3 linked regions of the Saccharomyces cerevisiae S288C genome follow. The protein of the gene in region 2 interacts with the protein of the main gene of each other region in a pairwise test. Each region holds a gene or a part of one and is shown on either strand. Other genes may lie near its edges. The genes, in order: FTH1, KEX2 and KEX1.

The links.
Region 1: the proteins of KEX2 (region 2) and FTH1 interact in a protein complementation assay, tested with the Saccharomyces cerevisiae proteins (2 studies listed by BioGRID).
Region 3: the proteins of KEX2 (region 2) and KEX1 interact in binary tests that used the Saccharomyces cerevisiae proteins (3 or more experiments, as listed by UniProt).

What each region holds. Positions count from the first base shown.
Region 1 is NC_001134.8:633,468-637,098, reverse strand, and holds FTH1 (Fth1p), read right to left. Parts: upstream 1,954-3,631; coding exon 556-1,953; downstream 1-555. Other genes in the region: DUR12 (bifunctional urea carboxylase/allophanate hydrolase), read left to right, coding at 1-396; mannosyltransferase KTR3, read right to left, coding at 2,263-3,477. UniProt on the Saccharomyces cerevisiae protein: High affinity iron transporter probably involved in transport of intravacuolar stores of iron.
Region 2 is NC_001146.8:200,366-205,400, reverse strand, and holds KEX2 (kexin KEX2), read right to left. Parts: upstream 2,974-5,035; coding exon 529-2,973; downstream 1-528. Other genes in the region: YTP1 (Ytp1p), read right to left, coding at 1-213; LAP3 (bleomycin hydrolase), read right to left, coding at 3,468-4,832.
Region 3 is NC_001139.9:111,933-116,277, reverse strand, and holds KEX1 (serine-type carboxypeptidase), read left to right. Parts: upstream 1-1,613; coding exon 1,614-3,803; downstream 3,804-4,345. Other genes in the region: ARO8 (bifunctional 2-aminoadipate transaminase/aromatic-amino-acid:2-oxoglutarate transaminase), read right to left, coding at 1-219; YGL204C (uncharacterized protein), read left to right, coding at 4,273-4,345.

The sequences.
Region 1 (3,631 bases), on a different chromosome or scaffold from region 2:
CATCAAGAATACTTGAGATGGATCAACGCAAACAAAGATTCCATCACAGCATTCCAGGAGGGCCAGCTTGGTGAAAGAGCAGAGGAATTTGCCAAATTGATTCAAAATGCAAACTCTGAACTAAAAGAAAGTGTCACAGTCAAACCTGACGAGGAAGAAGACTTCCCAGAAGGTGCAGAAATTGTATATTCTGAGTATTCTGGGCGTTTTTGGAAATCCATAGCATCTGTTGGAGATGTTATTGAAGCAGGTCAAGGGCTACTAATTATTGAAGCCATGAAAGCGGAAATGATTATATCCGCTCCTAAATCGGGTAAGATTATCAAGATTTGCCATGGCAATGGTGATATGGTTGATTCTGGTGACATAGTGGCCGTCATAGAGACATTGGCATGAATTACCTTTTGTTGGCATCTAAAATCAAAGGAGCACTCATTTAGTCTTTATAGCATGCCTTTTTCTAGCTATTTTTAATGACGAATATATATGTACATAGTATTTACTGTAAAATGTATGAAAAGAAGCTTAAAATTATTACGTGTGTTTGTTATGTTCTCAATTTGCTGAACCACTGCTATCAATTATTAGGGGCACAGAACTATCTTTGGACCGTCTTTGACTGTCTGGCTCTGATGTGCTAGAGTTGAGTTCAGAAGTATGATGTTTGAGATCGAGCGATGCCTTGGCAATGCTTAATCTTTTCATAATACGTTTCTTTTGCCAGCTAATAGGTAGATATGGGATATATCCGTATTTTTCTTCTATCATTAGCAGTTTCAAAGCGCATATTAATACCAACCAGTAGGCGTTGTAGCTAATTACAGAGCCGACGGTAGCACTATTCGTCCAACCAAAAATGGCAGTAAAAATCATCCAACCTCCATCTTTTTCACCATTGCAACAATTAACATGCCAAACAGAACGAGATATGTCGTACGAACCGGGTCCATTTCCTACTTCACTCATGTCTTGACCGTTACATTTGTTGACGTAGTCTTGCAATTCAAGTTGCCATACACCTTTGGAAAACAAACCAGCCGCGATCAAGTAGAGGAAGCAGGTGGCGACTACAAGGCATATCTTAAGTGAAAGAGAACTTGAGTACCTGAAGAAAAAAATACCGAACACCGTACTGATTGCAGTAGCAAGGACCATAGAGAGGGGAATCGAGGATAGTGGTTGGTCAATACCGATACCTCCAATGAATACAACAGCTTCTAACCCTTCTCTCAAAGTCGTTATAAATGGTAATATGAAGAAGGAGTACTTTTCACTGAATTTCACACCTTTTTGGGTTTTGTTTCCCAGCAAATTATTGTCCTTTGAATAAATGATAGAAGCTAATTTCACTCTGAACTTCTCTCTTAACTTCCCCATTCTTAAAAAAAACAACCCCATGACAGAAATAATAACGGACGCGACAAGACTTAAGACACCTTCATAATAATGTTCACTCAGTGTCCATAAGTCGGTTCCAATATGATAAAAGATACTAACAAACGCACCCCCGATTAACATACACAGCAACAAACCAAATGCGCCGCCCGCTAGAATTTGTATTTTTAATTTCTGATATAGCTTAACGTTGTCAGCCGTATGTTCATCGGACTCGCGGTCCTGGTCTCTAAGCTCATTAGAGTACTCGTAAATTTCTTCTTCTTCCTCCACATTTAGCGGCCTCGATTTATTATTAGCAGCCGTAGCGGACGTTCCAATAGCATTACCGTCTGAAGGCCCTGCTTGTAAGAAGGCAGTGGTCGAATCTGCGTTTGTGTTCGTATTTGGACTTGGAAGACCAGCAGAAGAGGAACTTCCTTCAAACGGGCTGTCGTCCTCAACAGACAGACCTTGTTTGACGATCGTCAACAGGATAGAAACAATGACAACAATTTCTAAGGATTCCCTTAAGAAAATGAAGAATATCTGGAAAGAAAAATAATCCTCAAACGCCATGGTGACTAGAAATATGAACACCACTCTAGTTCTCTATTCTTAGAGTTTTTTCGCTTTTCTGTAGAGGACAAAAGTTCAGTAAGATGCTTGATTCTTTATAATATCAAGTTTGTGTTTTTGTAGGCTGGTTTAGATACAATTTTGCTTTTCTCTCTTCATCTCCGGCCGCACCGCACCCATTTTTGAACCCAAGAAGGCACTAGAATAAAGTGAGGTGGCTACTACATTGAATTATGTGTATATAGATAGATACATGTTGACGTTTTAGCACCTGTTTTGACGGAGCAGGCGCTATTTGTAGTTTGGTTTTTAAATTCCTGGTGGAAGCTTGTAATTTCCTGCTGAAAAGTACTTTCTAGTACAGAAGTAGTCAGGAGTCCAGGTGACGTCCTTGCTAGGTTCGCAGATACACTTGTTTTGTAGTCTAATCTTCTGTTCGATAGGACAAGAGGTGAAATCTGGATGATGGAATCCAAGACCGTCAAAGAAATGGATTTCTGACTTGTCCAAGAACAAAGAGGCAGCGATGGAGTGCACTGGCGCATCCCCCCATCTTTCGTAGAAGAATCCACCAGAACTGTCTAAGTAATCAAAGTATTCTCTGTATGCATCGGACCTGAAGAAGTCTAAAGAGCCGATTTCGAAGTTGGTCCAGAAATGACACATATTATAAGTGTCACCATCATCATTCGAAATGAATTTCATGAGGTTATTTTTGTGTAAGAATTTAGGATTTTTCTTGATGAATTTCTTTGTCGTTTCCCACAAGGTTGGGATTGTGCGCTCATATTCACTTACCGAAAGAATGAATCCATATTTCTTGTTATTTACTTTTAAAAACTTGAATATGTCATACTGAATATCACAGAATAAAGTGATATCGGTATCCACTCTCCAAAACCATTCGTACTCCTCCAGTAGTGGGTGTCTCCATATGAACCCTGACTGGAAACGGCACATGTGACGGTAAGGCACGGAACTACCATATGGAATATCCAATTTTCCCATTGCAAGCCTTTTCTCATCGAATTTTTCAGTATCGATCCAAGATGGAATGGACCAATGGTCCTTTGGGATTGTCCCATATTTTGCCTTGCCTGAAACCAATGCACTGGTAACACGTTTAAACTCATCACTAAATGGTTGGTCATTCAAGAACACCCAATCGTAGTGATATCTGTTATTGAACCTGTCTTCAACATGTCTAATAGATTTTACCAAGTTCCATAAATCTGAATTCCTGGCCAATGTGACCATAACACCCTTTTCCTTCTTTCCATCGTCCACGGGATGGATTACTCCTTGTGACTTGTCAGTAAACGGCATCAAATAATCCTTACTGGCTACACGACTGACACTGGTGCCCTGAGCTATTGGTACCTCTGGGGACCTTGAGCCACTCATGAAAAATAAAAAGGATAACACTATGATGAGCCCAATGAATGATGATCTGATTCCCTTTTGGTATTTTCTAATCAGCAATGCCGATTTGGGCATTAGCTTCTTTTTGTGGTGCACAGACATAATTGCACGCTGGATATTGATAGTGTTGTTGTCCGCAGACGAGGCCTGACCTTCTTTATGCAAATTTTAACCATCAGTTACGTTGTTTTCTTCGAAAAGTTTCAAGAGGACGCGCCATTCTTTTAACCCGGCAATTTTAAAGGGTTCATTAATA
Region 2 (5,035 bases):
TGGTAAAAGCAACAAGAATCCCAAAGTGCAGAGCCAGTGGAAAGATTTCGACCCAGCCTGCACAATTTCTGGCCTCGTGTATCCCGAAGTATCATCCATGCCCATATCATGCTCCATATCACCGCAGACTTTTTCAAAGAAAAAGCATATTAGTAGAATTGCGCTAATGGATCTGGAAAATCCGAAGACAATATTCTTATTAGCTGCTGTCATTCCTTCTAGGCAGGTAAGGTTTATTCGACCTATTTTTTGTTTTGTCTGCCGTTTTAAAGTTATTCAGCTGTGGTCTTAAATATGCATTAATTGGACCCTCCCCTTTTATGTGCTTGATATATCGGTTCGGAGTTTTCATTTTATTCGCGGGTGCAAACAATGCAAAGTACATCATAGGGATTTCAAACGGAAGGAATAGGATATTAATGTTTGTTTATATATCATATACACATATACGTATACGTATGAGAGAGTATTATAATCTATAAGAAAAAAATGCTATTTTGTAATTTGAAGCTTTCTGTACATATCGAATCACGATCGTCCGGAAGATGGAGGAACATCAGGCTGTAATTCTTGTAATTTATTGGAAGCAGATTCTGCGTTGGCGTCATTTGGGAACTTTTGCTTTATAGGGTCACTAAATGGATTTTCGTTTGTTAGTACACTATCAATTGTATGTTCAGCATCACCGTTTTCTGATGAAGACAAACTTGCAAGATGGTCTTCATCGGACAAATCAAAATCGAAGTCCTCAACCTCTTCGGGCTCAGTAATTCCGGAAGTTCCATTGTCCAAAGTAGAATCGTACTCAGAGTCTGTATCAATGATATCGAATTCATACGTTTCCGCTCTTGACCTTCTGATCCTTCTCCTTGATTTCATAAAAAACATGAAGTATAACACCAAAAATGTGGCGCCAATCAAAAATATTGTTAAAAAATAATGCATGGCTTGCCTAGGAGAGGAAAGTTTTTTAGGAGTGTTTGGATCAGAATCAGGATCGGTACTCGCAGTAGTCGTTTGGGGAATGGCCGACGTTTCCACACCAATTGAGATAGAAGATGTAGAAGTAGCGCTGATGGAAATAGAAGTTGAACTGGCAGAATATTGTGATACGGTACTTTCTGTAGCAGCTGGTTCAACCTCCTCTTTATCGTTTCCAAAGACGAAAGTTTCTGTTTTAGATGAATCAATGGATTCCCCAAAGAGCTTCAGCCTCCAACTGTGGAAGTCAATCCTGTGTCCATTTTCTGTTGTCTTAACCTTGATTTTCCAATCACCTACGCCGTTCTCACCCCAATGTGCTACAGACATGAATGTCCAGTCTTTGAATCCCTCTGATGAAACATCTCTTGGTCTTACAACGCCAAGGTTTGAAATTATCCCCGCTGGTGATATTAAATCGACAGTCGTAGTTCCCCTAATTTCTGTATCAATATCTACAGTTACCGTGACGTGCTCAATTCTCTTGAAGTTAGCATCTTGAAGACTTTTTTCTGATATGGTTATGACGGATTCTAATGTCTCTTCCGTGGAGTTTGTGGACTGGGAAACATACAATGTTGGCAGGTAAAACCAGGTTTGTGCGTTAACATTCTCCCAGGTCTTGGACATTTCAATTAACTTATGGGCATCGATTTTACCAAAGCCATAGCGATGAGAGTATTTCTTCCCCATGGCGCTATCTCTCCAATCTCCGTCAGCGTTCTTTTCTAACCCTACCGCAGACAAGATTGATAAATACTGTACGTCTCTCCAAGTTAGGTTTGGGTTGGCTTCTAGTAACAAAGTGTAAACACCGGCAGCTAATGGAGCAGCCGCAGACGTTCCACCGTGGCTATTACTGCATCTGCCGTTGATATCACTCGAATGAATATATTCGCCTGAACCTGAAGAATACGTGACTGCCATGACGGCGGAACAACCTTCGGAATAAGGAGGATGTAGATCTTTGTGATCAATAGCCCCAATAGTAATAGAATATATGGAATTAGTATAGCCGTCGTAATTGCAATTATCACCACGAGTTCCACCATTTCCACTGGCAAAAACGTAAATCGCTCCTTTGGAATCTCTTCCCTCAGTAACACCTTTTACTAAAGCCTTTTTCACCAGGTCACTAGGGCCTTGTAAATGTCTTCCGTCATCAGCGGGACCCCATGAGCATGAATATATATCGTTTACGTCTAGACCATAAATCAAGGACGCAGCTTCATCTTCCGTAGTGATATCACCGGATAAGATTCTTATGCCTGAGATTTTAGCGTTGTAACCTACCCCGACACCGCAAAAATTGTTACCTTTTTTGGCAGCTATTTCACCTGCACATCTCGTACCATGGTAGTCATCAGATAATCTTGGTTTAGGTAAATTGGTATTGTCGTTGAAATCCCAAGAACCTTCAGCGCAAAAATTATCCTTCAAGTCTTCATTTTCGTAGTCAAGGCCATCATCAACAATGGCAGCCACGACCCCTGCGCCTGTAATATTATTGTACCACAGATCAAGAACATTTATATCACTGCCAGGAAAACTTGGATTGACCAAGTGCCACTGCCTCTCAAAAAGCGGATCATTTATGCTGAGTTTATCCTCAGCTTCTTTTACCGGTAACAAGCTTGAGTCCATTGGTGGAGCAGGCACCGGTAGTCTCTTAAATAGGTCGTTACGCGGGAATAAATCATGGACAGATAATATGTGGTCGTTGTTATCCCCCTGTAACTCTTCTAATGATGATCTTTTGCCCAATTTTAGCAACTCTTTTGAAAAAACATAATGGTTTGGTAGCCCTCGAACATCATGTTCATATTTCCAATTTGGATGCATTTCCTCCAAGCGGGATAATGTTTCATTGCTTTCTACAGCAAAATACTGTCGTGACGTATGGTCCTTCAATGGAATTTGTTGTGATGATACAAGAGCGGATGTTGAAAAGGCCCACCAAAAGCATAAAGTAATATATTTCCTCACTTTCATCTGATAATGGGTTAGTAGTTTATAATTATGTGACGAGGCCAAAAAACAACGGGATTAGTTTATCCTTAGTATGGTAGCCGAATGAATGAAATATGTGGAATAGATTTCTCTTTTACAAAACGGGATGTTTAAGCCAGGAAAAAGAACAGGCTTATGACAGAATTATGCATATGAAACGAGAGAAAGAACACGTCCAGCAAATATGGAGTACCTTGTTTGCCTTTAGAAAATGTTTCGGTTTCAATACTGTTCTCTTCAGCGATGCTGTTGAAGTATCAGCTCAGTTATTTAATATGCTAACCTTTCCTTTGTTTGTTTTCTTTTTCTATCTTTATTTTTTTTCCATTTACCGTTTTTTGCGTTTCAGAAAATGACCCTCATTGATTATATGAATAATAATATACACGTTATCATTTTTTATTTCTTTTATGTATGTATAGTAAAAATAAAACATGTCGAGATACGTGTATCTACATCAGAGCTGCTGAAACTATTTATTTGGCCAAAGCACCCATTGGGTCCCAGATGGGCAAGACAATCGGCTCTTCCTTACCTGAGGTGAATTTTGAAGCCAGCTCTTTTGGCAATTCATTGATATCGACCACAATTTGAAAGCAGTACTCCTCGAAGTACTTTTGAGTCATCACGTATAATCCGTCTTTACCGGAGTCTTTACCCCAGGAATTTTCAACGCGGTAGCGAAGTGGTAATTTAGACGTTTCATCGACGTGGCAGCCAGTGATCAACATAGCATGAGTCATCAAACTTTCATGGTATCTAATACGCGATGCCTTTTGCTGAGGTAAATTATAGCCGATGGCAGGATAGTTCCACAATTCAATATCCATGACACCAGTTTTCTTGTCCATGAACTTTGGAGTGTGAGATCCAAAAAAGACAGCTTTGTTATTTTGTAATCTCTTAACAACCAATTTAGATAGTGTTTCATTGTCAACATTTAAGTAAATCACGGCATCTCCGCCAAGGACGTTTCCTAAACGATCGATCTTAATTAATTTACCATATGGGTGTCTTGGATCATTGATCAATGAGACTGGCGTGGAAGGGTCCAATTTTGCGTATTTGGAGGCAAATTCTAACGGAGTCGATTTGATAGTGTGGATTTTCTTGTCTTTGTCAACGTATTCCCAAGTGAATTGCTCGTTTGGTTGCACTGGAGGTATGTCCATGAACAACGACATCAACCTGAAGATTTCTCTTTGCATTTGCTCTCTCAGAGTGACAATTATGGAATCATCGGCAGAACGCTCTTTCAAAGCTGTTCTTAGAGTCTCGGCAAATTCTCTCAGTTTAGTAGTCAACAGAGAATTCCATTTTCTGGACGCAGTAGTAGAATAAGGTAGATCCCCGTATAAATCTTTGGGGATAAGGCCATACTTCTTGACTAGGTTCAAAAACATGCTGTATTGGCCACCGTCTTCTGTTGGAGCTGCTAACAAGTATTGCACGAGACGTGAGTCGATGTCTTGATCAGCCGAGGAGACGATTTGGTCCAAGAAATAGTTGGCCTTTTCCAACTTATCGTAAAAGAACAAGTAAGCTTGGGACAGTTCGAATTCTTTTAAGTTCAATTCAGAAAGAACATTCAAGCGCAGTTGATTGGTAGCGGCAAACAACCAACATCTACCAGAGCTTTTTTGGTTGGTGACTGGAGTGGAATCAGTAGAGACAACAGTGTTGAAAACCCTGTTATCTTGCTTTTGCAGTCTAGTCTTGTTCAACAGTGCATCATCGGCATTATAATTCTTAAGGACAGTGGTTGCCAATTGATGGGTTAAGTCGGATTGAAACTCTTTGTTCCAAGAGTTGATCTTACTGATATCGATGGAAGAGGACATTCTTTTTAAAACAATTTGTGGTGCTCGTAAAAGGTGGCTTCTAAACGTCTTGAGATACAAGGACCGGGAAACAGAAGTAGGAAGCATGTAACAAAAGAGCAAGGGCTATTTATCGTTTATTTATGGGTGCCCGTCGGCGACTTGTCAGCCGGCGTTATCAATTGATTACCACATGCAACCCCATTGATTAAGAGAGCAGGTGA
Region 3 (4,345 bases), on a different chromosome or scaffold from region 2:
GTCAATTGGAGCTCCAATACCCTGGGGAAAAGGAGGCTTGGGTGAATCTACAGATAGATTATCCCATGGGAAATAATCTTTTAATGGCAGGCCACCACCCAAAAAGATAATGTTAGGATCTTGGAAAAGATGGATGCAGGTTTTCAATGGGGATGGTTTACGAGCATTGGTTTCATCCGAAAACAAGTAAGAAAAGTCTTTTGATTCAGGTAAAGTCATGATAGTAACGATCGGTTGTCCTATTCAATGTCTGTATCAACTGCAGGGTTTAACTTAGTGGAATGGAAAAATAAGAAAAAGAAATAAGTTCTTAAAGATATAACCAAACCAAATATATAGTCTAGAGATGTGTATAGGAGGGTCTACAAGATAAGAAAAAAGATTGCGATACACATATCTTCAAATGAAATGCGCTTAATATTAGTCATAGATTGGACCTCGAGAAAGTGAAAAAGTGCAGAGTGAAAAATGTGATAAAAAAAGGAAAAAAAGACATCTAAGGTAACCCGGATGTTCTTCATTATTCCGGCGCAATTTAGTACTGTTCTTCTATCAATGGCAATTCAGAAGCCAGATTCTTGAATGAGGTGAAGGAGAACAATGGTTATAGGTTAATTAAGAGATTTTTGGATGGTGTATATGAGCCATGTTTAATCTTGGAAAAATAGTGAACCGGGAAAAAAATAAAGAAGAACTCCTCATAGGGGGCTCGAACCCCTGACATTTCGGTATCCTTGCTTAAGCAAATGCGCTTAAAAGCCGAACGCTCTACCAACTGAGCTAACAAGGATGAGTTCTTCGGATTTCTTCGATAATAGTTTTAGTTAAATATACATTATGTTCACATAATGCTATTATTTAATGCACATGTTAATGGACGGTAAACTACTTATCATTTATTGCAACAAATGAAAAGACACCACCCTAACAGCACGAAAAATGATGTTAATGTCTTGTATAGTATTGTCGGATAACTAACTCTCGTCTCAACAAAGCTTAAATAAGAGCTGAGAGATTGGTGAATTTTAAGATGATTGTAGGCATTTCATTGTTGATCAAGGCTACAATATTATGTATACAGAATATACTAAAAGTTCTCCTCGAGGGTAGAGGAATCCTCAAAGGGGAAGCGATATTTCTACATAATATTATTACGATTATTCCTCATTCCGTTTTATATGTTTCATTATCCTATTACATTATCAATCCTTGCACTTCAGCTTCCTCTAACTTCGATGACAGTTTCTCATACCTTATGTCATCGTCTAACACCGTATATGATAATATACTGGTAGTGTGACTACTAGTTTATAGACGATAGTTGATTTTTATTCCAACAGGATCATTTTGTTAGGTGAGGAATTGCGAGCTTTTTGGCTATAACTTTCAAGTTTTGTCACCAACATTTATATTTGCTTACTGCAGCCCGGAACCGAAAAACAATGTGGAAAAAGAAAAAAAAGTGGAATATTTTGATAATATAGGAAACATTAAGAAAAGCGATTTCTTATCATTGTCTTCAACTCCCATCTATTTGAAAAAGCTTGCTGAAGCATACTTTGGTTAAAGAGTACCTTGGCTATAGAATACCGTAGAGATAAAGACCTGAATAGATGTTTTACAATAGGTGGCTCGGAACGTGGCTAGCCATGTCTGCTTTAATAAGGATCTCAGTATCCCTTCCGTCATCTGAGGAGTACAAAGTGGCATATGAGCTGTTGCCAGGGTTATCTGAAGTGCCAGACCCTTCAAATATTCCACAGATGCATGCTGGCCATATTCCTTTACGTTCCGAAGATGCGGATGAACAGGATAGCTCTGACTTGGAGTACTTTTTTTGGAAGTTTACCAATAACGACTCTAATGGCAATGTCGACCGTCCCTTAATTATATGGTTAAATGGTGGACCCGGTTGCTCTTCCATGGATGGTGCCTTGGTCGAATCCGGCCCTTTTAGGGTGAATTCAGACGGTAAACTTTATCTAAATGAAGGGTCCTGGATATCCAAAGGCGATCTTTTATTTATCGACCAACCTACTGGTACTGGGTTTTCTGTCGAACAAAATAAAGACGAAGGTAAAATCGACAAAAACAAATTTGACGAAGACCTAGAAGATGTGACCAAGCATTTTATGGATTTTCTGGAGAACTATTTCAAGATTTTTCCAGAAGACCTCACTAGGAAAATCATACTATCGGGTGAAAGTTACGCTGGCCAATACATACCATTCTTTGCCAATGCAATTTTGAACCATAACAAATTTTCAAAGATCGACGGGGATACATACGACTTGAAGGCGCTATTGATTGGTAACGGTTGGATTGACCCCAATACACAGTCCCTATCGTACCTTCCGTTTGCTATGGAGAAGAAACTGATTGATGAAAGCAACCCCAATTTCAAACACTTAACGAACGCACACGAGAATTGCCAGAATCTGATAAACTCTGCCAGTACAGATGAGGCAGCCCATTTTTCGTATCAGGAATGTGAGAATATTTTAAACCTTCTATTGTCTTATACCAGGGAATCTTCGCAAAAGGGAACAGCGGATTGCTTGAACATGTATAACTTCAATTTAAAAGATAGTTATCCATCTTGTGGTATGAATTGGCCGAAAGATATTTCCTTTGTCAGTAAATTCTTCAGCACACCTGGTGTTATTGATTCGTTGCATCTTGATTCTGATAAAATTGATCATTGGAAGGAATGCACTAATAGCGTTGGAACTAAATTGTCTAATCCTATTTCAAAGCCATCTATCCATTTATTACCTGGTCTACTTGAAAGTGGAATAGAGATTGTCTTGTTCAATGGTGACAAAGACTTGATTTGTAATAACAAGGGCGTATTAGATACTATAGACAATCTAAAATGGGGTGGAATAAAGGGATTTAGCGACGATGCTGTTTCGTTCGATTGGATCCATAAATCGAAGAGTACAGACGACAGCGAAGAATTTAGCGGATACGTGAAGTATGATAGAAATTTGACGTTTGTTAGCGTTTATAATGCTTCTCACATGGTACCCTTCGATAAAAGTTTAGTGAGTAGAGGCATTGTCGATATTTACTCGAACGATGTTATGATCATTGACAACAATGGGAAAAATGTTATGATTACTACTGACGACGATAGTGATCAAGATGCTACTACTGAAAGCGGTGATAAGCCAAAAGAAAACCTCGAAGAGGAAGAACAGGAAGCGCAGAATGAGGAAGGAAAGGAAAAAGAAGGCAATAAAGATAAAGATGGCGATGATGATAACGACAATGATGACGACGATGAAGACGATCACAACTCCGAGGGCGACGACGATGATGACGATGACGATGATGAAGACGATAATAATGAAAAACAAAGTAATCAAGGCCTCGAGGATAGTAGACATAAATCTTCAGAATATGAACAAGAAGAGGAAGAGGTAGAAGAATTTGCAGAAGAGATTTCAATGTATAAACACAAAGCGGTAGTAGTTACCATCGTTACATTTTTGATAGTGGTTTTAGGAGTTTATGCGTATGATAGAAGAGTGAGGAGAAAAGCGCGTCACACAATTTTAGTTGATCCAAATAATAGACAACATGACAGTCCCAATAAGACAGTTTCATGGGCAGATGATCTGGAAAGCGGACTCGGGGCAGAAGATGATTTAGAACAAGATGAGCAGTTAGAAGGCGGAGCACCCATAAGTAGCACTTCTAACAAAGCAGGATCTAAATTGAAAACTAAGAAAAAGAAGAAGTATACTAGCCTTCCGAACACTGAAATCGATGAATCTTTTGAGATGACTGATTTTTAACTTGGCAAATAAAAATATATAAAAAATACAGAAAAATAGTTATAATACCTCGCACACGCTTTTCGTAGTAACAGCGACATAAAGATAAATTCTTTAAAGGGTACAATCCATCAAGAACTGACTGTTTTATTTAATTCACACTACTGAACTTCATATTAAAGTGTCGTCATTTAAGTCTAGTAGGTTATATTAATCGCGCACAATAGTTTTTTTTTATGCAAACTGTATCACGAATATTTTTTCAGTTTTCGGACCATTTTTTGACATTTTTAACCAGTTTTTAACATTTTTATGGTAGCGTTCTTTTATTTTTCACGTAATTGCATTGAAATAGACATAAACGTATAAAATAATATACAAGTAATTAGAGCTTTTGAACGAGATTGTTTAGTGGTTGTTTTAACTCCTTCACAGAAGTTGAAAACTTCAACGCATTCATAGCCCCACATATCAACACAAATCCCTGGAAATGAATGGAACTGATATCCTTCGTTTTTTGCAATCTTCCCCCACCATTAGTTACAGCAAACATTTTATACTTA